7 linked regions of the Oryzias latipes genome follow. The protein of the gene in region 5 purifies or fractionates together with the protein of the main gene of each other region. This does not show direct contact. Links are inferred from orthologs where the notes say so. Each region holds a gene or a part of one and is shown on either strand. Other genes may lie near its edges. The genes, in order: cdc5l, tssc4, cd2bp2, riok1, eftud2, prpf6 and bcas2.

Evidence for each region.
Region 1: the proteins of eftud2 (region 5) and cdc5l purify together in Homo sapiens (affinity purification with mass spectrometry; 6 studies listed by BioGRID and IntAct, with this or other methods). This does not show direct contact. The link is inferred for Oryzias latipes from reciprocal best matches to the Homo sapiens genes EFTUD2 and CDC5L.
Region 2: the proteins of eftud2 (region 5) and tssc4 purify together in Homo sapiens (affinity purification with mass spectrometry; 4 studies listed by BioGRID and IntAct, counting the BioPlex papers as one, with this or other methods). This does not show direct contact. The link is inferred for Oryzias latipes from reciprocal best matches to the Homo sapiens genes EFTUD2 and TSSC4.
Region 3: the proteins of eftud2 (region 5) and cd2bp2 purify together in Homo sapiens (affinity purification with mass spectrometry; 7 studies listed by BioGRID and IntAct, counting the BioPlex papers as one, with this or other methods). This does not show direct contact. The link is inferred for Oryzias latipes from reciprocal best matches to the Homo sapiens genes EFTUD2 and CD2BP2.
Region 4: the proteins of eftud2 (region 5) and riok1 purify together in Homo sapiens (affinity purification with mass spectrometry; 3 studies listed by BioGRID). This does not show direct contact. The link is inferred for Oryzias latipes from reciprocal best matches to the Homo sapiens genes EFTUD2 and RIOK1.
Region 6: the proteins of eftud2 (region 5) and prpf6 purify together in Homo sapiens (affinity purification with mass spectrometry; 6 studies listed by BioGRID and IntAct, with this or other methods). This does not show direct contact. The link is inferred for Oryzias latipes from reciprocal best matches to the Homo sapiens genes EFTUD2 and PRPF6.
Region 7: the proteins of eftud2 (region 5) and bcas2 purify together in Homo sapiens (affinity purification with mass spectrometry; 3 studies listed by BioGRID and IntAct, with this or other methods). This does not show direct contact. The link is inferred for Oryzias latipes from reciprocal best matches to the Homo sapiens genes EFTUD2 and BCAS2.

Annotation. Positions count from the first base shown.
Region 1 is NC_019873.2:1,354,699-1,359,156, forward strand, and holds the start of cdc5l (cell division cycle 5-like protein), read right to left. Parts: upstream 2,816-4,458; 5' UTR 2,647-2,815; coding exon 2,602-2,646; intron 749-2,601; coding exon 645-748; intron 547-644; coding exon 385-546; intron 309-384; coding exon 181-308; intron 73-180; coding exon 1-72.
Region 2 is NC_019861.2:37,264,211-37,268,817, forward strand, and holds the start of tssc4 (protein TSSC4), read right to left. Parts: upstream 2,885-4,607; 5' UTR 2,788-2,884; intron 928-2,787; 5' UTR 858-927; coding exon 99-857; 3' UTR 1-98. Other genes in the region: shcbp1 (SHC SH2 domain-binding protein 1), read left to right, coding at 3,093-3,225, 4,127-4,336. UniProt on the Homo sapiens protein: Protein associated with the U5 snRNP, during its maturation and its post-splicing recycling and which is required for spliceosomal tri-snRNP complex assembly in the nucleus.
Region 3 is NC_019866.2:3,948,165-3,952,641, forward strand, and holds cd2bp2 (CD2 antigen cytoplasmic tail-binding protein 2), read right to left. Parts: upstream 3,106-4,477; 5' UTR 3,018-3,105; exon of another isoform or gene 2,756-3,017; 5' UTR 2,752-2,755; coding exon 2,677-2,751; intron 2,081-2,676; coding exon 1,951-2,080; intron 1,782-1,950; coding exon 1,624-1,781; intron 1,547-1,623; coding exon 958-1,546; intron 876-957; coding exon 790-875; intron 320-789; coding exon 209-319; 3' UTR 49-208; downstream 1-48. UniProt on the Homo sapiens protein: Involved in pre-mRNA splicing as component of the U5 snRNP complex that is involved in spliceosome assembly.
Region 4 is NC_019875.2:13,399,506-13,404,040, reverse strand, and holds the start of riok1 (serine/threonine-protein kinase RIO1), read left to right. Parts: upstream 1-1,585; 5' UTR 1,586-1,712; coding exon 1,713-1,765; intron 1,766-2,792; coding exon 2,793-2,979; intron 2,980-3,147; coding exon 3,148-3,238; intron 3,239-4,535. Other genes in the region: rpp40 (ribonuclease P protein subunit p40), read right to left, coding at 406-501, 601-669, 754-898, 1,294-1,407. UniProt on the Homo sapiens protein: Involved in the final steps of cytoplasmic maturation of the 40S ribosomal subunit. Involved in processing of 18S-E pre-rRNA to the mature 18S rRNA. Required for the recycling of NOB1 and PNO1 from the late 40S precursor.
Region 5 is NC_019866.2:5,478,948-5,482,100, forward strand, and holds part of eftud2 (116 kDa U5 small nuclear ribonucleoprotein component), read right to left. Parts: intron 2,287-3,153; coding exon 2,199-2,286; intron 2,117-2,198; coding exon 1,998-2,116; intron 1,881-1,997; coding exon 1,786-1,880; intron 1,682-1,785; coding exon 1,528-1,681; intron 1-1,527. UniProt on the Homo sapiens protein: Required for pre-mRNA splicing as component of the spliceosome, including pre-catalytic, catalytic and post-catalytic spliceosomal complexes. Component of the U5 snRNP and the U4/U6-U5 tri-snRNP complex, a building block of the spliceosome.
Region 6 is NC_019865.2:15,463,996-15,467,847, forward strand, and holds part of prpf6 (pre-mRNA-processing factor 6), read right to left. Parts: intron 3,731-3,852; coding exon 3,554-3,730; intron 1,897-3,553; coding exon 1,768-1,896; intron 1,667-1,767; coding exon 1,572-1,666; intron 1,225-1,571; coding exon 1,068-1,224; intron 1-1,067. UniProt on the Homo sapiens protein: Involved in pre-mRNA splicing as component of the U4/U6-U5 tri-snRNP complex, one of the building blocks of the spliceosome.
Region 7 is NC_019865.2:942,839-946,903, forward strand, and holds bcas2 (pre-mRNA-splicing factor SPF27), read right to left. Parts: upstream 2,512-4,065; 5' UTR 2,408-2,511; coding exon 2,315-2,407; intron 1,919-2,314; coding exon 1,826-1,918; intron 1,737-1,825; coding exon 1,666-1,736; intron 1,565-1,665; coding exon 1,403-1,564; intron 1,325-1,402; coding exon 1,274-1,324; intron 1,194-1,273; coding exon 1,113-1,193; intron 1,040-1,112; coding exon 913-1,039; 3' UTR 600-912; downstream 1-599. UniProt on the Homo sapiens protein: Required for pre-mRNA splicing as component of the activated spliceosome. Component of the PRP19-CDC5L complex that forms an integral part of the spliceosome and is required for activating pre-mRNA splicing.

The sequences.
Region 1 (4,458 bases), on a different chromosome or scaffold from region 5:
CCTTCCTCTTGGCTTTCTTGCCCTGTGTGTTGGCCAGGCGAGCCCTGGCTTCAGACAGCATCTCCAGCTCGTCTGCAAACACAGAAGCACAGCTGCTCCTTAAAGGCAGACTTCACAAAGTTCCACAAAGAATGAGAGGGCAGTTTTCACTGTAGCTGCAGAGCTGTAGAGATTCTGTACCTTCGTCCATGTCCACGGGGTCCGGTCTGGCAGGTTTGGTCTCAGGATTTGGGTCGATCTCTCCTGGTTTCAACTTCCTCGGATCATCTCCCACCTCTTCCTCATTGTCTCTCTGTGCAGCTTTGTCTCTAAACAGAAAGCCCACCCCCTTCACACACACTCCACCACCTGGTTATGGTCATTCCAGAAGAAAGTCAGACTTACAGCAGGTACTCGTAGTGCTCCAGACACTGGGCAGCAGTACGTCCTATGATGGGAGCGATGGTCCTCCACTGCGTCGGCATCAGCTTGGCCAGATGAAGCAGCTTCTCCTCCTCCTCTCTGGACCACTCCGTTTTCTTAATGCTGGGGTCCAACCACTCGTACCTGCAGACATGCAGGGTAAAACAAAATCCATCCGTTCATCTGCCTATAAAGCTGCCACCATTATGAAAATGGAAGATGTGTTTCGGCATCAAACTCACCATCTGGCTTTGCACTGTTTGGCAGACTTGCGGTGCAGCAGGGAGGCGATGCGGGACCACTGGTTTTTCCCATATTTCATTACCGCCGCCTTGAGGATCTCATCCTGAACAAACAAACAAATAATCAACAAAGACTTCACTAAACAACAAACGACTTACTGCTTTGGTTAGCAGTTGTCATTTTATGAATCAATGAATCACGCGCCTTATACTGTCTACATTTAACAGGTGAGCCCTGCCCACCCAGATCCATCCTGCAGGCCATAAATACATTACATTATCTCCTAATATTAGTTGCCATTAACTGCCCGTGTTCTTTTGTATACAGTGATGAAAGTCAGGCAAGGAAAAAATCCCTGAACTTTTCTTTGAGCGATATGGCGGCGCAGAGAGAAATTTTTGAAAAATACATAGTCTTAGATGCATTCTGGTGCATTCTGGCAGCTCGTTATTCACTTCTTAATCAAGAAACTAAGACTAATTGGAGCATCATCATTTGTCATTCAAACCCCTAGTTTGACTTAACATTAAGGACTTCCTGGTCCTAAAAAAGAATTTGGATCATTGCTCAAAGTATAACAATCCTACAATCTAAGCTTTTCCTAAAATCTGCAAAAGATACAATTGCTAAAATATAGTAACATCAAAGCCCCAAATGGCAAAAAGAACACCAGTAACTATGATATTCTATGAAAATACCTCAGTTATTTATACATTATTTCTGCTTTAGAAATGACTGATGTACAACATTCACTTGCACTGTTTTCTCAAACTATAATTACATCAAAATATGGGATCTGCTTTAAACTATAATTCTATAACATAATACATCAATTCTTTAACACCAATACTAAGTAATCTGGGAAATATCAAAACAAACATACAAACTAAATTAAATATTGTAAACATTATTTTTTAAGGGAGTGCGGGTCCAAACCATCAAATACTTATAATTAATGTCAACTATACTGAACTAAATCATGGTAATTAGGAAATACAAATAAATTAGATAGAGAAATGTATTCAAAATAAAAACTGAAACTCAAAACTAAAACTGAAATTATTTCTGAATTTGGTTTTGAGATTATTTTACACAAAAAAGTATTTGACCTACACTACCTTAAAAATATTTTTCTTCCAGCCAAGACCACTTCAATTTGTTTTTTATCGTCTTCTCACAACTGAGGTCGTGACCACGCTCAATAATGACGATGCCTGCCATTATTTTAACACAAATTTGATCGCAAACTCTTTAGATTTGTTTGTGAAAGTTTAGCGTGGGTCAGCCAGTTTTGGTCTCTAGGGAAGCAAGTCACGCTGACCACGTGGTGCAGACAGAGCCAATCAGACCCGTCGACGCATCCGAAAGCAACTAAAACGTCCCGTCATTGGTCAATTAGGCCGGGAAGACGAGAGATGGCCGCGACCATATAGGAAGCGATCCGCGGAGAAATATAGAAAATAAAGCTAAAATTCGCCGATTTCAGACCATTTTTTCATCCGGAAAGCGATTTGTCCGTAAAGATCAGGTCTTTATTTCCCGGAAAGTACGTTCGGTTTGCTCAAAAACCCGGATTTCCGGGAATTCCCGGAAGACTTTCATCACTGTGTATATAAATAAATAAAAATAAAAATTAAATAAAAAAGACATGGATGCTGATCTGCCTAAAGTTTCCCGGCTGCAGAGCGAGCAGCAGCAGCAAGTCTCCTCCCCGTGAAGAAGGCAGCGGACGTTCAGGACTAGCATAGAGGAAGACGGCTGCAAATGTTGCACTTTCACCACCTTCATCACCTTTTCCAACTAAAAACATCGATATCAAAAGTTAAATTCGCGGACAAAAGAGCGTGTACATAAACGTGCTGTGGAGAGTACGGCCTTTAGCTTTATGCTAACCTCCCGCCATTGGTTTAGGATTAGCCTAGGAGCATGCTAACAGTTAGCCATGTAAACACTTACCTCAGTGTTACGCCAAACCCCTCCTTTTATCATAATACGAGGCATCTTGATGGCTTGTTTTTGAATTCTCCGTCAACAAAATTAAATATTGCTTTAACACCCGCTATTCAGTCTAGCAGATTTTCCAGTTCTCCCTAAAAACTAGCAACACTACGAAGGAGAAACGACATGCACGGATACACCGGAAACTGTATTCTTACAAGTAGTCACCGAAAGGCACTGTGGGTAACGTAGTCTTATACCATGACTGTCTCATATGTATATATGTTATTTTAGGAAGCAGGAAAAATAATTACTTTGGGTAAATCTTAACCCTCCTACCCTTTTGCTATTAGTAGCAACAACAAAGCTGAGAAAAATGAGTCAAATGTCCCCAAAAATGTGTTTCTTACCAGATAAAATGACAAAACGGAAATCTAATTTAAAAAGATGTAATCATTACAATGTTATTTATTTTAAAAGTGTTCCATACATAAACCGAATACTACATACTTTGTAATGGTGCAATTATAAAACCTCTAAATAATGTCCTGCCTTCGCCCAACAGGAACCGGGATGGGCTCCGGCAACCCCGTGACCCCAGCAGGTCAACAAAATAGATGGAAGTTCAAAACAGAAGCGCTGGCATTGGATGTGTTCTCTACCCGCTGATTGTTTCACTGAAAACGGCACATACCCAAAGCTGAGTCCCTGATTGGTAAATGCGATGATTCTTAGGAAATATTTGCCCTATTCATTTATCAATTCATTATTTCTCATTGTATTTCCCCAATCAGTTAGGGGGGTCGGAGGTGTGAAAGAAGTGGGGGGTTGTGTGTAGAAGGGGGCCCTATTTTTCAATTTTTGTGACATTCCCATAAAAATTAGCGAGCTTCTAGTTGCAAAATTCTTTGCACAGGAGCTTGCCAATGACGACCGAGAAGTTAGATGATCGACGAAAATACCTTGTAGTTTTCGTGTGTAGCTGCTACTACAGGTTTTTTTCAAAGACCTCTTCCCGAGGCTAAAGGTCGACTTTTCTCATATTGTGGAAAAACATGAAAATTGCCACAATTTTGCCACAAACCAGCTGCCAAGCAGTGGGTTGTGTGGCCCACAATAATTTCAAAACGTCCTTTGGATATCCCCGACATGTGTTGTATGGTTTCCTTAGTGTATTTTGACTGTTTTTGTGCCTCCATTAGCGATTTTCGGCTCATTAATTTTTTATTATTATTTTTTTTATGGTTTCGCTTGCCATGCTGTCATCGACTTCATTTTTACCAGGTACTGGCGGTCTGCAAGTTTTGGTGAGTTTTCATGCATTTTTTTCAGAGCGGCTTTATGTCAGATCCAAACACTAAACATGAAATTTAATTAGTTTAATCACCTTTTAAATGAAAAAAGAGGACATGTAATAAAAATGTCAAGAACGTGTGAAAAAAAATGTAGAATAAATCAGCAAAGCAGAGTTTTACAAAATAAAACGTCCTTCATAATCAGATAAAAAATAAAATAAAAACACTGCCAAGTATGTATTTTTTCTCTCTGCTGCTTGGTACCAAGTGACCAGACTGGTACCAGTACTCATGATAAATCAATGAATGGATCAAATAGTTGGATCTGGTGGATATAACTAGTTTCCTTTTCTGCTTTAATGTTTGATATCAGAATAAACAGGCAGGTTTTAGGAGTGATGATCTTTTTATTTCAACTGGATATCTGAGGAACATCTTGATTAAATTCACAGAAATGACACCAGGCTGCTCATATGTTCTTCACAACACAGGGACACTTATCAACATGACATCAGACATGCACAAACCAGGCACCAGCGCCGCTTGACCATAACCAGGTTCACAAAGAATCAGCCAATCA
Region 2 (4,607 bases), on a different chromosome or scaffold from region 5:
CTGGTTTGTATTGATAGTTTGTTCATATGTCAAACTTTCTTTGAATAAAACATCAAATGTTCCAGCTTTAGCACAAAGTCAGCATCAAATCGAGCATTTTAGCACTCATCCTTGTGATCCGAGCTCCTTCTGTAGCTCTTCCTCTTCATTTTCTTGAAGGGGGTGAAGCTGGGGAGGGACTCCTGCTGGTCTCTGACCTCCTCTGCATCCTGCTGGGTCTTTCCAGCAGCCTTGTTGTCCTCCTCCTCTTCCTCAGCCAGGTGACTGAGGTGCAGTCTCTTCTCCTTTCCTTGCTGGTCTGACTCAGAGATTTCTTCCTTGAACGCTCGTTTGGGTTTAGAGAAGACCACCTTTTGCTGCTGGTCGTGGGGGGGTTCACCGGGGGGGCGGTTGCCCTCTTCAGGCCGCAGACTGGACAGGAAGTTGTGCGCCGCCCTGCGGTTCTCCTGATCAGTGGTCTCCTTCACGTCCTCCAGGCTGTAGCGCGTCCAGCGATCAGGGTGCAGCAGGTAGTCCGGGACCCCCCTCTTCTTTGCAGGAGGGGGACATTTGGGAGGGGGCATGCTCTCCTCGGGGAGCAGAGGTGCCGTCTGCCTCTCGACGCCATCCAGGCAGTCGAAGACGCTGCGGCTGCGGTCGGAGAACGCAGAGTTCCCTCCGCTCAAGACGAACGTGCTCGCAGTTGAGCGGGTGGCGCCGAGAGCGCACGCCTCCTCGCCCCCGTCGTCGCTGTCATCCAGCTCCGGGTCAAAGGGCGCCCGGCTCAGCTCTTCCTCGGGCTCCGACTCGTCACTGGCCGACAGCTCAAAGCCTTCTTGGTCGTCGCCGCAGCTCTGGACGCATTTCTGCTGCGACATCTTCAGCCGCGGCTGCAGCCGAACCCCGAGCCGCGAGGAAGACAAACCCGGTCAGGTGGGAACCCCAAAACTGTAGAGGAAGACACCAAAGGTCAGGCCACCCCATCAAACCTGCATGGACTGGTTTTAACATCTACCAAAACAACAACAAGCTGCTAGGACCTGTGAGGACGGACCACCGAGCATCCAACAGTAAATATGAGGGTTTTGGAAATAACCTGTAAAATAATAATGATCCTCTATGTTTACATCCATTTTAAAAGCAAGCATAATTATTTAAGTCCTAATTCTGTTCAATTCAAAACAAACTTGAAATAAATGTTTTGAAATAATGACCCAATAAAAGGTCAATAATTACAAGAATGCGCACGTGCAGCCAGTGCTGAACGTTGTCATTGGCTGCACGGACCCACAGGAAGGGTCAAGGTTAGGATTTCGGTAAGTTCAGGCAGGTATCCAGGAAGCACGTTTAAACTAGCCTGACTTTAAGCCTGAACTCTGGCTGAAATCCGCCTGAACTTGCTTACTCTGGGTATGTCGGTATGACCAGATTTGAGTTAGTGTAATTACGCTGGACTTGGTAACCCTAACTCAAACTCCCCAACCATCAAATCAGAGAATATTTGAATGAAACGTCCTTTCCCTACATCTCAAATTCAAATTATATAACCCAATATTTCAATAATTCAGAAAAGAAACAAATACGAACCAAATATTTCAAACTCCCCATCCCTCCTAAAGCCAAGGAAGTCAATTTTAAAACCTTTTCAGGTATTTTACCCTTCCAAGGAATTACTAAGAAAACGGTTTGGAATTCCTGAAAACTGCTGTTCTTTTTGTCATGATGACATTGAAACAACTGAGCATCTTTTCTTTGAATGTTTTGACTCTAATGTCTTTTGGAATTATTGGCTTTTCCCCCAAATCCCACATTTAGCAGACTTTTCTATTAAGGACATCATTTTTGGGTTTAATTTAAAAAACAAAAAAACACAGAACTTATTTTAAATGTTGTAATTATTTTGGGTAAATTCTATATACATAAATGTCAATTCCTTGAAATCCAACCATATTCTTTTACATTTCATAAAGAACTCTGCTCTTTTTTTCATCTGCAAACTTCATGGAAATCAAACTTGCTATGGAACTTCAAAGTATTATATGTAACTTGCAGCTTTTTGAGAACCCCCCAAGTCAAGAATCATTAAAATGTCTATGTGACCCCCTTTTTATTTTAATTTCTTTTATTTAATTTTTTTTCGGTATTATTGTTATATTTTTATTTTATCCTGCCTATGTTGTTTGTTCATGTCCTGTACTTTTTCTACTTTTCTATACTTGTCATAATTGTATACAATTGTTACAAATTGTAAACCTCAAGTGTTTTTTCAATTAAAAAAAAAGCTAAAAATAAAGAAAATACCCCCCTGGTTCCTGAGCGGCTGTTTCTGCAGCTCTCCGCTCCTCCAGGATCAAAGTACAATTTTCTCACAGTTAATGGGATTTTAACTTTAAATATGTTTTCCATAACTTTGTTTTCTAGTAAAAATACGTGCGAACAACAATAATAACATCATCATGATCATCAGCCTTAACAGCGCATGAATTAAAACATCTGTTTCATCTCATATATGAATTTTTTTTGTGCCTAAAAAACTAAAGCTTTTGTTTTGATTTTATTTAAAAAGATTGGCAATAAAAATAAAAATAACTCGGAATATTGACTTCGTAAAAACAAGATTCAGACTGAAGTTAGTTAGCATGCTAAGTAGCACGATGCTAGTAGTAGCGCGACATGCTAACAACGTTACAAATGCTTATAAACAAAACAAAAATGCTGTCTAGCCGAAAAGAGCTGCGAAATGCGCTGTTGTTTACATGACAAATATTTATATAATACGCGTAGTTTTGACTTAAATCCCGTTTGTACCTTTGAAATAGCGCAGACCGCCGGCCGAAACCCTCTTCTTCTACGGTAGATCGTGTAATGTTTACGTCATTACTGCCCCCTAACGATTGTCCTGTGGTACTGCAGACCGAGCCGATCCGCGCATGTAAAAAAACAAGGGCGGGTCTTTATATAGCTCCCTGCTGTGATTGGCTGAGCTGCAGCAGACCGGGATCTTTTGAAAGTGTCAGGGCGTGGGCTCAGAACTCCGCTTGTTGTTTCAAAGCTCCAAGTGCCGCGTGATCCTCATTTAATCCCGTTAAACCGAGACTCTGGCGAGCGTTTCAATGGAGTTCGAAGCCCTGGAAACCGGGTGTACCGTCAGCGACGTGTCGGACTTGGTGGTGGTCGATCTGGATCCTCAGGTCGAGACGGACAGCGTTTGCTCCGCGGGACCCGGTTTATTGGATGTAGCGCAAGGTTTGTTACGTTACCGTTTTTGGTTTGAGTTTTCTTTCCTCCGAGTCGGTGTATGAGACAAGCTAACCGCTGCCGTCGAGGTTTGCTAGCTTGGAGATTTAGCAGACTTTTTATCCGAGTTTCCGGCGGTCTGTGAACGCAGCGTCTTCATATGTCGTCAGCCTGAGCTGCATTCTCGGAACTGTCAATCTTGCAGGATTTTCCAAACTTAACCCAAATACGACAAATAATTATATTTCACTCTCATCTGAGTAGACATTAACGGATGTTGAAATAAACAAATAACACAATTATGTTATTACAAAAACAAAATATACCTATAGAAGACCGCAAAAGGGGTGTCAGACTGTTTCTTTTTTTTTTTTTAAGATATCCTGCCTTATCTGCTACTGATTACCTGGATCAGGTGTGCTTCATGGCAGGTTGGTTGGACAACATGTAGGACACCGGCCCTCGAGGCCTGGAGTTTGACACCTGGAAAACGGGGGTGTAAATAAATTCATTTATTTGTGTATGTAGACACAGTATTTGTGACTCTTTTGTTGATTCTATGAAGTTGTTTAACAGATTGTTAAATAAAAGAGAAGAGAAAATATCTGCTTTCATGAGGATTTTGACACAGGAGGACCGGAAAAAGCCTTAAAACCTGTTAACTTACTAAAAATACAGCAATTAAGGACAAAAATAACATTTAAAATGCCTATGAAATTATTATTAAAATTAGAGTTGAAAGCATATTTTTTAAAATAGCAAAATAACTTTATAAATGAGTTAAATCAATGCAAACATTTTTTTTAAAGTCCTTCAAAGTTTAAAAAAGCATTAACAGTCTTTTATTTTGAAAAGTGGCGCTGGACAAACTTTCACAGCCATCATTCATGACCTCCGCTGGGTTCTGCAGCTCTGTTCCAGAACGATGATGCTGGAGACGTCAGTGACGAAGACGAGGATGACGACGACGACAGCGGGACAGACCACCAGAACTCTGAGAGGTCGGGGACGCAGCTGCAGAGGTCGGAGCGGCGGTCAGGAGCGACTCTGCCGGACACCTTCCAGACCGGCAGCCTGCTGTTCTACGAGAGGTTCAAGGCGTACCAGGACTACATGCTGGGTAACGGGGGACCCCAACGCTCGCATGGAGGCGGTTATATTACAGTACAATCATGCAAAACACCCACGACGGTGTAGAAAGAGCTGCAGATGGCGTTCAAACTTTATTGTTCACAACAGTGATGACAAAGCTTAGGCAGAGGCTTCAAAATAAAAACGGTTGGAGGTCAGACTCCCTCTGGCTGAAAGAAACCTCCAGCAGATTTAGGTTCTGACTGGTTTGGGTCGAGTCTGTTTTAATACAAAGGAGGGTGGGCCGGGTCCTGGGCCGA
Region 3 (4,477 bases), about 1.5 Mb from region 5:
ATATTATGGTACATTGGATGACCCACAAAATAAAGGAAAGAAACAATATTAAACACAGCAAGTTTATTAAAAACATGCAGAAAAGAAATACATTTAAAACAAATATCATGTTTTTCAAATTAAAGAAGAGACAGGGAAGACTTTGAAAGAATTATGGGATAAACAACACCAAACTGCAAAAATGATGAGGATCATTTATGGCCATAATTCATGTGTAAAGATCAAAGTCTATTCTTCTTGAGTTGTAGAACTGAGACCCTTCCTGGTCGACCCTCCTGCAGTACACGCCGTCGCTGAAATAGCCTTCGTCCACCCAGCCCTGGAAAACGAACAATAAGAAGATTAAAACCCCACCAGGTCCAACTGAGGGTCAGAGCTACTTTACAAGTCAATAATCTGGCAAACACGGTGGGATTTACTGCTATCTTTACAGAAAGAGAGCAGTTAAAATTCACTTAAAAAATAAATAAACTTTAAAAGGTAGACATAAAATGCTGCATTAAAGCTGCACAGATTTTATCATTTTTTGTAATAATGTCAATTATGACTTCACTTAAATATCATTTAAACATATTCTGTATCCTGATTTTATTCAAAACAATGTATAGGAGTAACAATAATTACACAATTCTTGTACATTAGGCGTCAAATGAACTATTAGCTGACAGATATAGACAAAGACACCACTTTCTAATTGTTTATATTAAAACACAAAAGGGAGATTAACAGTTTAATTTTGCACAAATCCCATAAGAATAATTCTTCATGTACAAATTTGAGGGGAATAACCTGCATCTGCTGGCTGGTGAAGGGGCCGTAGACCTCTGTGTTTTCCTTGTTGTCCCATTTGTACTCCCACATCACTTCATCCGTCACTAAAAGTTCAGAAAGATCGATCAAATAAGTTACATTGCATGTGACGACAACCGAAAATCTTCAAATGTTTCGCCAAATTACCTCTTTTGTCTTCCTCATCCTCTTTGTCTTCTGATTTTTCCTCAACTTTCTCATCAAATTTGTCGCCAAACATGTCGAGTTCATCCTCATCGTCACTACACCTGGTTCTCTGCCTGTCTGCTGGCTGCTTGCTCGTCATCCTCTTCATCAAAAATCCTAGTTTCTCATAAGTGTGCTGATAGATTTCAAACATCCCTGATCCAACCAGTCTGTCAGCGAGAGCTGTGAGCTTATCCAGCTTCTCGGCATCTCTTTTGTTCTCCTTTGTGGGTTCGTTCTCTTTCCTCAGCTTCCCCTTCTTCCCCCCAAGGCCTCCTAACCGACGGAGCGCCGTAGCAACCGTTTCTCCGGGTTCCAATAACTCAACAACAGCTTCAGTGAGCTGATGCTGCGTGTAGGATGCCAGGGGGTCCTCTACAGGTGTCTCCTCCTCCTCCTCCTCCTCTTCCTCTTCCTGATCACCCTTGTCTACTTGCTTTTCCTCCCTCCGCTTTTCCTCCTCAGCCTCATCCTCATCACCAGCTCTGCGCACCCGCTTGGCTCCCAGACCTTTCTTCTTCTTTTTGAAAGGCTGCTCTCTTATTTTTACCTGTAATAAAGGAAGATGTTTCATTCATTCTCTCTTGACTGAAAATACGCCATGTATGTGTTCCTAAAACTAGTTACCCAGTCTATGTTGTCTAGCCAGTTGTCTTTAATCTCTTTCTCCTTTTTGATGAAATAGTTTCCCTCTGAATCGAAGTGACCTTCCTCCATCTCCTCTTCTAGGTTAAAAGGTGTAATAGATACTCCCTCATCATAGTCGATAGTTGCTCCTTCTTGACCTGAAAACACATTTTCTGACATTAAAACAGCTTCCAGGGAAAGTTTACGAAAGCACTATTAGCATAAAGGACTACTTTGTGCAGGTAAACAGATATTAAACATCTTGGTTTAAAATTAAAGCACCCTCACTTATATTATTTTTCAAAACAAACAAAAAACAAGGCTTACCCTCCACATCATCGCTGGCTAGAATGTTGTATTTGCTGTGTTTTGATTCTCCTCCTTCGTCCTCTTCATCACTGTCTAGTGAATGTTTGCCCTTGAACCTGGAACCTGGTCCACTCACTGCCTCACAGCTCTGTTTCAACAAAACAAAGTCATAGGGATGGCACTTAGAAACAAAAGCGAAACAAATGTATTTATTTTGTGATCGATGCCCCCAAAAAAAGCATAACCTAAACAGTAAAACAAGGTCATGCTTCACCTAAAAATAGGTGTTTTTATTCTTTTACATTCTATCATTTCTCAGATAATAAAAAAATTACACAGGTCTGCCATATTTTGAATTAAACAAAGTGTCCACTTAAGCTAAAAATAATCTCAGTTCATAAGTTACTGGAAAAGATTTCAAATGACTAATAAAAGTTATAACTTATTAGTTATGCAAATGCCGTTTTAGAATATATCAAAATAAAGTAAACATCTTTAAAATAACTGTACTAATATTTCAATAGAATAGTGGAATGAAAATAGTGCATCAAATAAAGGCCAACAGCTCATCATGAGGAAAACACAGAAATGAATGACGCAGCACAAAACTAAAATAAAACACGCGGCACTTAATTAGTACCAATACGTAACAAATGATTACTTATATAGTTTATCCAGATCAAAATTCAGGAAATCAAAGGCTAAACTTTTTTAGCAAAACCCTGACAGATCCTCCGGCTTTACCTTCTTCGTGAGCCCGTCGTCTTCCAGTTCAAACTCTTCGTTCCCGTCCTGAAATGTCACTTTTCTCTTCGACATGGTGCTGGAGAAGACAACAGAGCACCACTTTTATCCACGCAACTACACACCCACAAGTGACTGTAATAACACGCACGTTATTAGCTTTGCAGCTAAGTGTTAGCAAACAACAACACGGAGAGCATGCAGAACAAGTAAACGCCTCGCCACCAACTGCGACTCGATATACGAAAGGCATTCAACATTATGTTGGTCAACATAATGTATAAACAAATAATAAGTATAAATGACACAATAGAACAGATAGGGAGAGCGTGGTAAAAAACCTGCATAAATTGTCAACGTTCGCTTTCGCTTCTTGTTTGACGGAAATCTAGATTTTATTGTTATTCAACAATGGCGGAATGACGCAACACCGCCACCATGTGGTGTGGAGGGTAACAGCTGTTATTTTCAAAGATAAAAGCGTTGAGGCTGGCTCAAAAATTACATTTTGTTTAGGATTCATTCATCTTTTGTTATCCGTTTTTTTTAGCAAACTGTCTTTATTTACCACACCCTTTTTGAAAAACTGCAGTTGTGAATAGTTAAAGCAGGAATAATTTTCTGTAAAACTGTTAATAAATCTAGAAATGAGAATTCAGAGAAACAATATTCGATTTCAGTTTTGCTCTTTCAGACGTCATTTTGAAAACTACACTTTGAATAGAGCTATGTTTCATTTTTGTAGATTTAATGCTTCTCCCTAAAAGCCATTAATGCTATTGAATTTATAACTAAGTCTTTTTATTTTATCATTTTTTAAAATAGCTCTTTTTTTATTTGTGATAGCACACAAACAAAATAATTATTATTAGATCTGCATTTTCAATCGTTTGCATTTTTAATCTTTTATTGTATTAGTTTTTAAAAGCACATAAGGAAAATGCACGGGATTTATGCACAATAGGAACCTTATTAGGAAAGCTGCTCAATTTAAAAAAAGATTTTGTTATTTTCCATGGCAACAAACACAAATCCTTACCAGGAGTTGAAATTATTCTATAAATATAGAATCAGAAGCTGATCTAATTATAGCTTTAAAAAAAGTGGAAAAAAAACCTAGATCAATAAAAGTGGTGCTGTTTTTGACAGGGAACTGAATCTTTTCAGTTATTTTCCATCTGCCCACAGCAGAGTCAGTCGCCTTAAAAGCAATCATAAGGAAATCACATCATAAAAGAAATAAAAGGAGAAATGATGGAGCCAAGGCAGTCAACTCCACCACAGCCACTAGAATCTCACTTCTTGACAGTGAAGCAGGTCGCGACTGCTCAGTTCCCAGGAGCTCCGGGCAGACTCAACAGAGAATATAACGTGTCAGGGTATTATTACCAGGAAGTGGGTTGAGTTATTTATATTTAAACGCTCGTCCTTCGGTGCCCATGAGGGAACCAGCTTTAGTAACTTAATGCTAAATATGAAAACATTGTCTGGGCTGGTCGAATCAACCTGACAGCAAACAACCGCCTTCATATTTAACAACAACAAAAATTAAAACATAATGTGTCGATCTGAATAATGAAAGGACTGCGTGGGAGGCCAAAGTGACCCTTACTGCTTGACAAAAGGTAAGTCTGAGTCAGCGCTGTCAAATCTGCAGTGATGTGAGCAGCCAAGAAAAATATTGTGGTTTTGGAAATGTGCTGACATTTTTATTGTTTATTATGAGGTACTTACCAGGTTTAAAATAAATGTCGTTATGTTGGATGCATGGGGGTTGATGGTATTGCATGTTTCACAAGTT
Region 4 (4,535 bases), on a different chromosome or scaffold from region 5:
GAAAGAAAAAGCCTGGATAGCTACGTGAGATTTGCACCGCTTAGGGATTTCACACCAAGCCTCTTCCAACTGTAGGTGGCGAAGTAAATAGAACAAGAAAAATAAGAAGAGGCCCCTCCCAGCTTCTCTCGTGTGAATGCCATGCGCTAAACGTGCATTCAAGAATGTGCATCATAAGACCAGTGTGCCAGTAGTTTCAGACTCCAATCAGTCACAGCAGATGATTGGTTTTATGGAATCTAGTTCTGCAACGGGTTTCTTCCTCGTTTTCCACCAATTTCTCCTTCTCCACTGTCCGCTTTTGTTTGCTCAGTACAGGGATTACACAGCAAACCCCTCAGTGCTTTGACACCACCTTCGTTGTGAACTAACGCTTTAGAAATTGTTAAGTTGTGCATAACAAACCAAATCTGCTGCAACGCCTGTGGTTAAACCTTGATGGTTTCCCCTCGAAGCCCAGCAGCTCAAAAGAGTCTTTGTCCAGGGACAGGGTCAAGATACCTGAGGACAGACAGACAAGATCATGTGATCCAAGAACAGATGAAAAGGGTCATTTGACCATGGAGATCCACACAACAAACAGGAAGTGATGCTTTTTACCGTTGGGCATTAGGGAGACACAGTTATCCTCGTCGATGCGAGTCTGGTGGGATAAACCATACACGCTGCCTGCAGCACATAGGAACAGGTGAGTCATGTGACCAGATGAGAGCAGGTCTCAGCTAGGTTTAGTGAAGACGGGCGTTTTGTTACCGTTGTAGATGGCACTCCGCAGGAAGTTCTCATTCAGCAGCTTGTAGATGGGCAGCTTCTTAATCAGGTAAAAACTGTTGAATGACTTCAATGTTTCATCCAGATGGGAGGGGGCGGAGCTACAATCAGGCAGTAGCAGAGACACCTGCACAGGCATAGGAAGCAGTAGATCGTGGCTGTTTCAGTGACAGGTCACAATTTTTAACTAAATTTTCCTGAATTTCGCAAAGACCTGCCAAAATAAAAGACGGAACGGCCAATCAGCAGTCTCTATGATTCAATATTAAACATAGAAGAATATACTTTGATGCTGCCTTCAAGAACTTAACATCACTCCATGCTGCTTTTAAAAGCACTACTTAAGATCATCAGTCTTTGCTGCCTTCAGGGACAGGAGTAGTATCATGTCCCTCGGTGCTGCCTTCAGAAACACGGGAATATATCTCTCAATGTTGCCTTCAAAAACAGTTTGTCAAGAGGATGCATCATTCTGCTTCCTTAAACTAATTCACATGCGGACTTGAATATTTTAATTTTCACCTTGTAGTTAAAATGCATTTGCTCCACCTGTGCGCTGACCCTGTTTTTCTCGTTCTGGAAGCTGGACCGCTCACAGACCAGCAGGTTCCGAGGACATCGGCTCAGGTCCTGCATCCTGATGCAGTTCCTGCACGATCTCAGACACGGGGCCTCGGGAAATGTTCTCACTTTAAAGCATGCAGGAGGCAAGGCAAGAAACCCGGAAGCGAACTGAAACACATGGAGGTTTGGTCAGAACGCAGCACTGCGCAGCCGCAATGGGTTGGCCCCTCTTGTTCGCCGTAGTCACGTGATCAGAGCCGGAAGTTGAAGGAGCAGCACGCTGTTGACTTCTATACCACCCGAACAAGGCGGCCCGGTGAAGGTGGGCTTCTTATCAACCAAATACAGCGGGATTACTTTGCGTGGGCTGTGGGTTCATGGAGGAGGTCACGTGCGTTCCTGGACAGTTTGATGACGCTGAGGTAGACAGGTAAAGGTTTGGTTTGGTTTGGTTTGGTTTGGTTTGGTTTGGTTTGGTTCTCTTTGTCGCTCTGTCTGTGTCGTCAGGAAAAAATCTAGTCCCCATGTCAGAAAAAAGGTCGTATGGGTCCAAGCCCAAACGCTAGTTCTGAGTGGTCCAGTAGTCGATTATCCATGTACTAACATTTCTGATGAATCATTTTGACTGGCTTGTTTAGTTTAGTCAGCACCTGGAAAGGCCAAAACCAGCTCCTCAGTGAGTGTCTAATCCGGGTCAGAACCTAAATCATCCTGCCAAAAAGAAAGAACCGACCCCATGAGCAGAACAGTGTCTTCTGTCAGGTTCACCTGTTACGGCCTGGTTCTGTGATCCCATAAGAAATGACTGCCAAAGCTTTCAGAAGATCCAAAATCCTCAGTGTTTCATGAACAATTGTCTCCTCCTGTGGTTTGGGTCTTGCAAAGACTTTGATTTTTATGGTGCAGGAGGACAGATGATGCCTTCTCTGTTACCATGGTAACCAAATGGGGCAAGTACCTTCTCTCCAGAGGGTCTTCTCCAGGTTTCTGGGCTGTATCTCCTCACAGTTATGCCTATTTGAGTTCAGATGTTATTTTTTGGACTTTTCTAACCATCAAAGCCTCATACCCACTGACAAAACAACATCCATTTGTGGCAGTTTAAGATTTTTAATGCCGTGTAAGCATTAGAAAATGTTGTCACAAGTAGGGAGCCATGTTTGGGACCAACGATAGAGGAACTGAAGAGATTTTAATGTGTTTTTTGACCATAATTGGTATTATTTTGCCTTCAATCCTAATCACAAGATTAGAGCGACGTGCACAAATTTTACCTACACAAATACATGTTTTTGTCCACAAAAGTGATCTGCTCGAGTGTTACTCATGTAGCCTTGTGGCTACATATTTTCAGGTGCAAACACCACCTGAACATATCTTCCCTGTAATTGGCTGAGGGTCTGGACTCTTCCTCCCTGTTGGTTCTTTCTCAGTCTGTCTTTTTCTGTTTCCTGCAGAGACCAATCAGAGCCTTCGTTGCTACCAAGCCTCATCAATGATGTCGCTGCGCAGAGGGTCGACAGTGATGAGGAGGAGGACGAAGTGGATGATGATTATGATGATGAGGATGATGAAGAGGATTGGGCGTACCATTCTGCTGCCAATCTGACCAGCAGATTAAACCGGAGCGGCCTCAACTGCCAGGTTCTGATCCAGATACATTAAAATTTAGTTGCCATGTTAAATGTCAGTTAGGGTATATTGGTTCCTTTTCAGTTAAAGAAGTCACATCACGGTCACGGTTCAGAATTATTTATCAGTGATAATGAGTCTGATCCCACTGCCCTTTTGTTTCTCTGTCACTGTTCTCAGGCAAACAGACAGAACCCGTCGAATAAGATGATCTCGTCCTCGACCCCGTCTGACAAAGCTTTGAGGAAATACGAACACAAAATCAACCTGGGTACACACACGTGCACACTCACATGCATAGACCACAGCTGTGGAGGGTTCTGGTTAGGCCTGCACAATATACCGCAAATTTATCGTTATCGCAATATCCAGCTCTGCAATAGGCATATCGCAAAAGACTGCGAATATCGCAATAAATCGTAAACCCAAAATGTGTTAAAACAATCTTCTAGCAGCTTGAAGCATTTAACGAATCAAATAAATCCCTTTATGCTTTGACCAATCAGATGGACGCCTTCCCATTGTTTACCAATCAGATGGAGGCCTATTATGTTAGATGTTTGTCACCTATGTCAATGAGGGTCATTTGGAGTGTAATTTTAAACTGTTTCTAATCAAATGGGAATGGTGTTTTTGGCATTTTTCTATTTTTTTATATACCGCAAATTATATCGTTATCGCAATATTAATCTCTAATATCGCATATCGCAAGTTTTCCTCATATCGTGCAGCCCTAGTTCTGGTTTTCCTGTCCGACATGGTGTGACCTTAAAAAGTGTCTGCCCCTCTGTGAGGTCAAACAATCTCCAGTAAGAAGATGGCTGATAGTTCTGAATAATCTCCTATGGATGTGTGAAAAAGTATTAGCCCCGCCCTGATTTCCTCTACATGAGAGAAGATGGAGTTTATTTTTAGAGGCAAACACAATTTCATACAAGAAAGTTAACCTACCACTGTTTTTGTTGATGTTTTTGTTTACATTAGCATTTTTATTGAAACACATAAATAGGTTAAAAAACAAGGCAATGATAGATATTATTCTACTATCTTCTTTTCCAGAAAGTCTTAATTCCAGAAAACATTTTGTTCTGCAAAGATTTTTGTTTTGGTCGCATAGTCTGAAGGTCTTTGTTCTAAAAGACCTATGTTCTAAGATTGTCTTCTGGACTAATGGGTTTTCTGTTCTAGAGCTTTTTTGGTTCTTCTGTTCTTTGAGGTCTTCCATTCTTGATGGTCTACTGTTCTAGTCGTTTTGCTGTTTCAGGAGATCCTCGATTTTACTTTGTCTTCCGTTCCTAGAAGGTCTTTTGTTTTGGGAGACATTCTGTTCTTGGAAATTCTTTTTTTTTTATCTTCCATTTTATGAAGTCTGCTGTTCTATTATGGATTTTGTTTTCGAGTGGATTCTAGTTTGATTTTCTGCTCTTGATAATAACTGTTTTAGTCAGTCTTCTGCTCTGGAAGGTTTTGGTTCTAAGATATCTTTTGTTCTAGAATGTCTAGTGTTTTAGAGGGTGTTCTGCTCTACGACGTCTGTTGTTGTTCTGGAATGTCTTCTGTTCTTGAAG
Region 5 (3,153 bases):
TTTTCTCAGATTACAAGGCAGAAAATGCTAAACTCAAAGTCCAAATCAGACTTGGAAAACTAAAAAACAAATAAGTCAGACTTCAGTACAACAACAAATCTGTCATTGCTGTTTTTCATTAAATATGCATGTCCTCATTTGATTATTATAGCTATGATCGATCTGTTTTCTAGTGTTTGTACGCATTAATAATTCAGTCGTAGATTTTTTTTTTTCTGGAGCTTGGTTTGTCAACTCTCCAGGATAAAATATTCATTTAGATGACATGAAATGTCGTGTGCACGGCCTTCTCTGCGCCCCACAGATGACTGAGTTTTCAGGGAAGTATTAATCGTCCTTAAGTGGAATTAGTTTTCACCGACACAGCTCTGCTGAGCACCGTAACAAACACGTGTCACACTGAGACAGACATGATACTTTGGAAGTCGTGACTCAAAACTGCTGCGCTCGGCATCAGAGCAGCTCGGCGAGAATGAAAGACAAGTTTGAAATGCAAAAGAGGACTGTTTTTATGAGTTTGAAAGTGAACCAGGACCAACTAAAGTATGGAAATGTCCAGGAACTTTCTGCTTAAAGACCCAATCGGGTGAAAATTGTGTTCCTGTGGCACTTTTCTGACGATGGAGGACATATTCGAATAAAATTTAAGCTCAAAATTGCATTTCTGAGAATTTCTTGAACAAGGGATAGACAGAAAATGCCGTTTGAAAAAGATTGTATGACGTAGAAAATACACTGGGAGGGTTGCAAGCTCCCTGCTGCAAGCTCCCTGCTGCAAGCTCCCTGCTGCAAGCTCCCTGCTGCAAGCTCCCTGCTGCAAGCTCCCTGCTGCAAGCTCCCTGCTGCAAGCTCCCTGCTGCAAGCTCCCTGCTGCAAGCTCCCTGCTGCAAGCTCCCTGCTGCAAGCTCCCTGCTGCAAGCTCCCTGCTGCAAGCTCCCTGCTGCAAGCTCCCTGCTGCAAGCTCCCTGCTGCAAGCTCCCTGCTGCAAGCTCCCTGCTGCAAGCTCCCTGCTGCAAGCTCCCTGCTGCAAGCTCCCTGCTGCAAGCTCCCTGCTGCAAGCTCCCTGCTGCAAGCTCCCTGCTGCAAGCTCCCTGCTGCAAGCTCTCAGCAACGGGGAGGTGAAAAGAGGGCGAGGTTTCTCCACGGTAACGGTCCCGCCCACAATTCAGAGGTGAATTTGTCATGAAATACTGCTGCTCTGCAGCAATTATGTCATAATCATGATTAAAAAATCACTGGGGACATTGAAAATAAATCAAAAGACGGACGATCGGAGCGGATTTTTAAACTTTTCTTACCCTTTAGTCTCTTGTTTAAACTCTCAAAGTTCAAAGCTTCATAGAACTTTAAGTCCAATTTTTCTAGATTAGAACCAAACATCGGGTCACGATGAAAGATTTTTGTAAATTTGATTGGAGTTGTCTTAGCCAACTAGCCAATTAGGACGCAGAAAAAAACTGCAAAATTTGCATTTAAAAACATCTGACATCAGCATTTTCCAGAGAGGGTTGGGGTCCATCAGGTTACCTGCCAGTGGTGGAACACAGACAAAGCAAAAGCCTGGCCCTGCGTGTGAGTGCGGAGGTCCGTCTCAAAGCCAAACGAGTCGATGGCGGGAATAAAAGCCTTAATCGTGTAAAGAGGGGAGCCGGGAATCGGAGCATCTTGGGTGACGTGGCCCCTAAGAGAGGACAAACAGAGCAAGTCAAAACAGATAGTAATAAAGAAGAATTATTTTGTAACTTCAAGTGACTTTGATCAGCTCTCCAGGGTTAAAGGGCCGACCTTCTTCGAGCCAACACTGTGTAGACTGCCGAAACACAGTCTGCTGGAGCCTGAACCTCCACAAAGTAGTACGGCTCCATCAGCCTCGGCGTCGCCTGAAAACACAACAAACTTTCTTACGTAAGGCTGACGATGCTAAAGAGCTAAAGAGGAGGAGGACAAAGGCAAAAAACAGCAACATCCAGTTGTAGGAAGCTTCAGTCCGAGCTCACCATGAGAAAGGCAGAGTACACCACTCTCCTGGCTGTGGGGATGACCTGACCTCCTCCTCTGTGCAGAGGCTCCTGAGCGATCACAGCATCCAGGATCTTAAACTTGACATTCCTGATGGCTGAGAGCATCACAAAGACAAACGAGTTCATTTCAGCTTTGCTTGTCTGTGGAGGAAGTTCAAACACAAAGACATGACTTACGTTCATCACACAGGGGGCCCTCCCTGGTTCCCCACTGAAACCCCTGAACGATGCTGTCTTTAACCGAGCCGAGCAGCGCCTTGTCCACCTAAAAAAAAAAACAAAAAAACAACGTTTTTGTTTAAAAGTACAGCTTTTAATGATTAGAGCTTCAATTAACACCCAGTTAAATAAATCTTATGTCTCAATCTCAGCCGTTGGAACAATCAATTTTAGGTTTGGAGTAAATAAAAGACATACAATTACATCAAATAAAAACTCTGCAGATAGCAGAAAAAAAACAGCATATGTGCAGATTTGGCTCCAGATTATTTCTTTGCTGTTCCGACTAAAGCAAACAATAACGTTTTATTATAATCCAGTGTTTACGCAGACAAAGTACATCCACATTATGTCAGCTCTATCTGCTTTCTGCAGCAGATTGAGCTCATTCAGACAAGCAATTAGAAAATATAACAAGACAGCAACAACATCTGTGTTTTCTCTGAGTTTCCCGATGGTTTGTAGCTGTGTGGAGTTTCTTCCACAATCAAGAGCTTCAACGACTTTACTTGGAGTCAAGTTAACAGATCCATCGCCAAATTGAAATTTTCCACTGCCCCCTTTTTCTGGCATTTATTGGCACATAAACAAACGGCTGTCCAGCACTTATTTTTCTTATGGCGTCGGTTTCTGCCGCCTAAAATGTTCCTCCTGAGACGGACCGGCTGGTGACATTTCCTCTTCTGCATGAGCCGCTGTATTGACCTGCTGAATCAATACAAGCTGGAAAAAAAGGCTAATTTGCCCCAACAGCTGCACAACAACAGACCCCGCTAAAATCCTTTAACGAGAATGAGCTGTAGCTAAAGAGCTCCATGGTTTCATATAAAAAAATGCAACTTTTATGTCATCTTTTATGTTATGAGTTCTCATTTGTTCTTTAAAGTAGATTTAAATCGGAAACCTTCACATG
Region 6 (3,852 bases), on a different chromosome or scaffold from region 5:
ATACCACAATAAAGTGAAATATTTTCATTCAAAAATAAAACATTTTACAGACGATCAAGTAGAGCTGTGACGGTGTGGGATTTTTGATCACCGCGGTGATGAACCAGCAGCGGGGGCGGTGTGGCGGTTAACCCCCCCCCGGCCAAACACAAAATACCCCCGCGGCTGCGTTGCAAATGAATACAATTACAACGCAGTATTCTTTATTAACAAATAACAGTAACCACTAACTACTACCTATCCACCTAATGAACTAACTATATAGGTGTTGTAGAATGACTATGTGTATGTGTGTCAGCACGCTGCGTATGTAGGAGGAAGGAGCACACAAGTGTGTTAATTCTTCTGCAGCGGACCGCTCTGGAGCTGCAAGCAAGGCTTCACCTGTGCTCTCTGGTACAGACATCTTCTCAGAATATTATATATTGCCCAGTAATAAACAGACTGCAGACACTTTGTCACCTTTCCGGTAGCCATGAAGCCTGACACCCATGAAGAACACGTGGCGGGAGGCTCCGCCTTTGTTTATACAGACACGTAACTTTGCGCTGCACGAAATAATTCCCAAACAAAACATGTAGTGATATTCATCGAAATCTAACAGAGCCCGTTCGTGTTTGGTGTTACGGAGTGAAGGAGAACAGTAATAAACACCACCACCCACGCAACTTGTAATGGAAATGAATAATTAGAACGCAGTAAATTTGTCGCATTTCCTCGCGAGACGGAATTTCTGTTGTACAATGAGGATTTGTATGTGCTGCTGAAACCGCGCACGTGTGTGTAAGGAGAGGGAGCGTGTGGGGCGCAAGAGGGAGTGAGAGCCGCGCAGGGAGTGAAGGAGAACAGTAATAAAAGGTTTCCCCCAGAAGCCCCTGAAGTCTGAACACGGGACTAGCAGAAAAAGTAAATTATCAGCAAAGATGAATGTGTTTAATGTGTTTATTAGTTCCAATCACACACCATATGCAGAAGAAAAAAACGTGCTGTGATGCGGTCATCACCGATGCGGTGATGCTGTGATTGTCACACCCCTTCGATCAAGCCTGCAATAACCTCAAATTTACCTTTGGGCACATTTCTGTGCCTTTCATTATCAGGTTCCTCGCCACCTGAAGTTTACCAGTGACCTCTTCCAGCCTGGCCGAAGCAATCCAAGCAGGTGGATGATGGGGGTTGGTCTCCCTCACTGATTTCAGCAGCAAGCGAGCCTTCTTGATGTCACTGCACCCAAAGAGTTAGATACAAATGATCAAAAACAGACAATCTCAACAACTTCCCACATTCCCGGGAACCTCTTACTCATTGAGATGCAAATTTAGAAGCTATCTCCCCAACTTTACAGTTCGCACTTACCAAATAAAATAAAAATAAAAATTAGAAAAATGCACAGCTTTAGATAGCGCTTTGATTTAATCTTTCCCACTTTCTTTCACACAAAAGGTTTATCCGATGCTTTTTTTGGTTAATGCATAGAAAATCTTATCTGTTATGCAAGGAAGTGGAAACATCTGATGGTGGGATCACAAACGCGTATAAAAGAAAAGAAGTTACGGCCGCGCTGTCGTTACCTGATGTCTCCTCCATAAGTTGGGATCATGGAGTTCAGATCTGTGAGGTATCCTTTAGGGTCCACGACTGTCTGCCCGCTCACAGAATCTGACACCTGCACAGCAAAAGTCAAACGCAACAGAACAATTATCCATATCACTGCAGAACACAAGCAGATTAAAGAGGAAGTCATACTGAATTACACAAAAAGCATACCTGACTGAGCCTCATATCCATGAGAGTGTTCCTGGCCTGACCAATTTTCCTCATATCCAGTTCTCCTGTTCCAGGTGTCATCAGACCAGGGGTCATGCTCCCAGGGTAAGGTGTGTTCAGGCCCCCCAGCTAGTGCAGACAGGAAATAATGTTAGAAGAGAAGGAGCATTATTGTTCCAGGGAATTCGGTTTCCAATTACAGTTCCCTCACAAGTGTAACAAGATAGAATATATAATGTGAACAAACTGTAAATGTGTGAAACTGCTTTTCTATGCTGTGAACTGAAAATGACAAAAAATGTGCCAAGAATAACTAGAAAAGTTGCATTTCCTGGGTATATACGATTAACTGACTAATTGCAAAAGGTGGTTGCTTTTATTGGCTTAATCGCATAACTTTTAGCAGAGGAAGCTGAAATGTATTGAAAAGAAAAAGGCTGGATAAATTGCTGAAGCTGTTTGCGTAAAATCTGCAGAGGTTTTCGGATTGCCAAGCTGCAGAAGACATCACCATTATAATGCTGCAATTAATTCACATTGCAAAAAAACCTGTAAAATTTTTAGCTAAATGCCAAATTAGCTTGAAAACCCTTGATAGATGTCAAATTAAATGATCTAACATAAGTGAGCCAGCACAATGTAGATGTAATGGTTACATAACAAAAATGTAAAGGAATGTCTACATTTGCACCTACAGCTAGCATGATGTTAATATAAAGGTTTAATGCTATGCTAGTTAAAGCTGTTCATACAAACAGAATTTATTCCAAACACGGGGATTTGTGTTTGAAACTTTGAATAAAAAAACATCTATGTGTCATTGAAAGTGTCAAAGGTCCCCTGAACTTTTGCAAAGCCCGTCTCAGTGTGTCTGTGCGTGTCTGAAAGAGAGTGCTGTCTCCATGGCAACGGGTTCAAATTCCAGGACTGCTCGCAGCTGTATATGTCATCTACGTAGGCACAAACGCTACAGAGTCTGAGATGGACAGATGTCCCAAACAAAATGATGCTGTGTCTCAACTATACGTCAGATTAAAATAATTGTTGAGAAATTATAGGAGGAGATGCATTTCAAAAACAGAGAAGTTGAAGCACTGTCTCCATTGACTTCCATTATATTTGAAATTCAAACAACTTAAAATTTTGAAAAACTTTAAATGTTACCAAAATGGTTTAAAGACAGCAGAAAAGTCTACAAAAGAGCAGAACAAATGCATGTTTGAATTTTTTGAACGGCATAAAGTATGCAGAAGTTAGCTTTGCAGTAAGTTTGAAGTTGCTGAAGAGCCTTCCCCTATGTACTTCTATGGCAACATTTTGCAGCAATTTTGTTGAATTGCAGAAAAACCATAAGTTGTAGCAGAAATCGCAGAAGATAGCAATAATGTCCTCAATTTGCAGGACATTTTGATACTTGAATGGCAGAAATCAGATAAAATATGCAGAAGATATGAACGGACAAAAAAACGCACGAAAGAATAAGAATGAATAATAAGAGAAGAACAAGCCAAAGGAGGGCCACAGTTCCACAGCCTGAATTCAGGACTGCAGTTATAAAGCACTAAAACCAATAAACTAATTCCATCTTGTTACTGTCCAAATACCCATCAGCTCACGGCTGCTGTACAGAAGCTACAAAGTAGCAGTATCATAAACATTTGGCAGTTGCTAAGACTGTTTTAGGTGAAGTTTCCTGACCCCTGCTGGACTAAACTGGGACTGCAGCATGATGCATGGTTTTCAGTGCTTCTAGTTGGATCTTGTGCGTGTGCGCGTATTTACTGACTCCTTGCAAAGGGTCGACAGAGGAGTGGTTCTCTCCGCTCTGCAGGTGCTTGGAGAAGAAGCTATCAGGGACAGGTGTGAGTTTTTCATGGCGAGGGTTCCTTTGACGCTTGTTTCTTGCATCTCCAACTTCAGGGATGCTCAACCACTCCTCCTCTGACACTTCGGCCAACTTTCTCTAAAAAGGCAGAGGAAAACAAAAAGAGAATTGGAAAATATGTATGAATTATTAAAATAAAGTCTAATTATTACAATATCAGAACACAAATGACTAACATAGCACACCTACTACAGCACACT
Region 7 (4,065 bases), on a different chromosome or scaffold from region 5:
CGGTGGTACATCCCATGCAGGGGTTTGTCCTCCCATGAGGATCTGTCCTCCAGCACTGTATCCTCTGTTCTCCATTGCCTGAGACATTCACTGAGGACACTGTCAGTTGGGGCCTTGAGCTTGATGTGTATATATATATATATATATATATACACTAATTAATTTCAGGATAAAAGCACCTCCATTGCAGCTTTACTTCCATTGTGAGTTAATGTTTTGTGAGTTTTTGGGTTGTGAGTTAATGTGTTGTGTGGTAAGTTAATGTGTTGTGAGTTAATGTGTTGTGACCTTTCTGTGCCACTGACCAACAACAAAGATGAAGACTCATCCAGGAAGTCATGGAAGACGCTGAGACTTTTGAAAATGGATCAGCACAAAATGCTGCAGATTTCTGAGATCAAAGTTCAGTGGATGTACAGAAGACAGGGGATCTGACACAAAACCGCCTCACTCTAGGCCTCAGACTTTAGGTTTCACTGTTCTTCAAGAGGGATGAATGACAAACCATCCAGCTGCTCCCATCTGTTAGCTTCCAGCTCATCAGCTGCAGCTCTGAAGCTCAGAGACTTACAGGTAAAAGACTGAAAAAAATAACAATGTGTATGAAACGTTCATTTTATTAAAACGATAAAAAACAAAAGTTGAATCAAAAACAGGATTTTTTTTCTCCACCACAACTTAGAAACTGTACAACAAGCTACAAAGACATCGATCATGTCGATCGATCATGAGTTTCAAACCATGATTTGTGTGTAACTGAACACAAAAGACCCAACGGTTCCATCAGAGGAAACCGACGCCTTTCAAACATCATCCGTCTTGGAGTCGAGTGACCCGCTACGCTCCAGCAGTCATCGAGTCGTCCAAACCAACCGAATCAGATCCATCCAACGGATCCCGGTGAGGTGACTCCTAAAAGTCCTGTCGGATGTTCTCCTTGTTCTCCTCCCCTTGCTGCTGCCTCAGCTGAGCCACCTCGTTCTCCAGCTGGACGATGGCGCGCTCGATCTCATAGTTTTTACTGACCAGCGACACCCAGCTGGCGGGAATCAGAACCAGAGTCAGACATCACCCCTCATCCACGAGAACACCAGAACTTAAGAAGAACCTACTTGGACTCCAGCTCTCGCAGCTTGGCGCCTGCAGCCAACTGATCGTTTTTGCGCTGCCAGTTCAGGTCCTGGATCTTCTTCCTGCCGGCATAAGTTCAGAAATGTGTAACCATGGTAACCGTTGGATCTTTTCAGGCATGTATGATCCAATCCTCAATCACCTGAACTTGTGGAGTTCCTTTTGAGCCAGCTCAATCAGGAAGGCCAGATTGCTGAAAAGGGACAACATTAGCTTTGAGTCTTCAGAAGAGTCAGACACCAAAGGGTGAGACCCACAGGCCGCCACTCACTCGTTGTAGACCTTCCACGCGTTTGTTCCATAATGCGACATGAGCTCCAGGTTCTCGATCCGGATGGCCTGGTGCTCCAGCTGGGCCATGGAGTTATTGACACACTCCTGCCAGGCGGTAATGTCGTTCTTCTGTCCCGATGTGGGGGCTGGAAGCTCATACCTCCACAGCAGAATAGAATCGTTCTATGGAATCACCCTAAACTTTCTCTTTCTTTTACATTTACAGAAATATTGTACAGACAGACAGAGTGTGTTTTTTACCTCTTCATGCTGAGGAGGTCCATTGGTTGTCGAGCGGCTAATCGCTCAAACTCATTCCTCATGATTTCTGTCTGAAACCCAAAACAAAACGGGAAAGGATTATAAACCGGTTAGCCAACCCAGACTAGGAATCAAGTTTCAAATGTCTGCAGGTTTTCACCTCAAACGGCGAGAACTCCGGCATGGGCAGGTAGCTCAGGTAGTTCTTAGTTGGGCGATACCTTCTGGTCTCTTCTTCCACCAACGCAGCGGCCTGAAGGGCCAAGTACAAATGATTTCTCTCCATTTTTCATACAAACATGATTTAAAAATGAGCCACAACCCCTGATGATCTAACATGTCAACTTAGTGTCACCAAACCCTGGTTCTCCAGATCTGCCGGCTGTTTCAAACCCCTCAGCTGTTGTTTTACCCGATGAGGTAAACAGCAGCTTTGGCTTTGAAGGTTTTCATCCTAAATTATGAACTTGTATAGTTTCAAAGCAGAAACCTATAATGACAAGATCTAAAGAAATATACAGGCGATCATAATAATAATGGTTTGGCCAACTATACATTGAACGGCGCGTTACCATGCGGCATCGCTAGCTAACAGTTCTAACTAGCTATAAGTTAGCTAGCTTTTAAAGCAGCATTCTTGTTTACCCACCGCTTCTCTGACACCTGGTGCGTCATAACCTTGATCAAAATACGGCAACGCATCAACAAACACTTCGCCAGCGACCGAGGCCGTTCCAGCCATGTTCGCTCCCCAGTAAAAAAAAATAAAAATAAAGAAAGAAAGTCCTTTTCTGCTAACAGACTCCAAACGGCTAATCAGAAACTTCCGTTTCCGGTCAAAACTTTCCGAAATAAAAGTCTCAACGGTGTTGTATTAATCGTGATTGTCGCCTCTTGCGTTGAGGAATGGAACTGCAGCTTAGTAGATAGATAGACAACTTTATTTATCCATTTGGGAGGTTCCCGCATGGAAATTGACATCTCCATCGCATACAGCACTGGTTGACATACATATAGGAAAAAGGAAAAAGCAGCACAGTGACTAGAAAAATGAGGAAGATTAGAACAGTAAAAAACAATTTAAATATCTGCAAACAGTATATACAAAAAAAAAAAAGTGATTCAGGCCCTTTCCCTTTCCTTTCTGTCCCCCTCCCCCCTCCTAAGTGGTTTGATGGCCCGGGGGTGGTAAAGAGTTTGATGGCCCGGGGGACAAAGGAGTTCCTCAGTCTATTAGTCCCGCACCTTGGGAGGAGCAGCCTCTTGCTGAAGGTGCTTCTCTGGCTACCGATAGTCATGTGCAGAGGGTGGCTGGTATTGTCCAGGATACCTGTCAGTTTTTTCAGTGTCCTTCTCTCTGCCACAGTAGCCAGACGGTCCAGCCTTGTGCCAACCACAGAACCAGCCCGCCTGATCAGCTTCTCCAGCCTGGAGAAGTCTGTCTTTGAGGTGCTCCCCCCCCAGCACACCACAGCGTAGGTTATTACACTGGCGACCACAGACTGATAGAAGATCCCCAGGAGCTTCTTGCAGATGTGTAGTGTAACAAACTTCAGGTTTCAGCTATTACTGCACTACAGTAAACCTTTAAAGAGTTTCATATTAAATTTCAACAAATAAATGCTTTTTTTATCTTTCTTTTGTTGTTGTTCTAAAAAAATATATAAATAGCTTTTTCTTCTGATACAAATGTGATCAATCTTGTAAAAATACTTCATCATCACTTCAATATTTTTTTTTAAATAATGTATATAAAATTATAAGTTTACGTTGAAGGCATTTCATCTTAACAATACAGAAATAATAACCAAGAGTAAATAGCCAAGAAAGGGGAAGTACTGGTATGTGTATGCATTATAGTATGTAGGGCCGCACAATATGAGGAAAACTCGCTATATGCGATATTAGTGATCAATATTGCGATGAAGATATAACTTGCAAAAAATGAACAAATAGCAAAAACAACAAAAACATTTCCATTTCCCTTCAAATGTTTAGTATAAATAAGAGTCAAAATACCTTAAATTTATCTTCCAAATGACCCTCGTCTAATTAGTAGGGCAACATCTAACGTAAGAGCTCCATCCGATTGGTCAACAACGTAAAGGGCTATATCTGATTGGTCAAATGCATAAAGGGATTTAGTTAATTCATTAAATAGCTAAAGTTACCATAAGATTGTTTTAGCACATTTAAGGTTTACCATTTATTGTGATTTTCGCTGACTTTTGCGATATGGATATTGCACAGCTTGAAATCGCGATAACGATAAATTTGCGATTAATTGTGCAGGCCTAATAGTATGTTTTTTTGCGTGTGTACACGTTGCAAAACCAAATTAATCCTAACATCTGGGAAAACAGGATCAGTTTCTGGCCAAGCTCCTCCACAGAATAACAG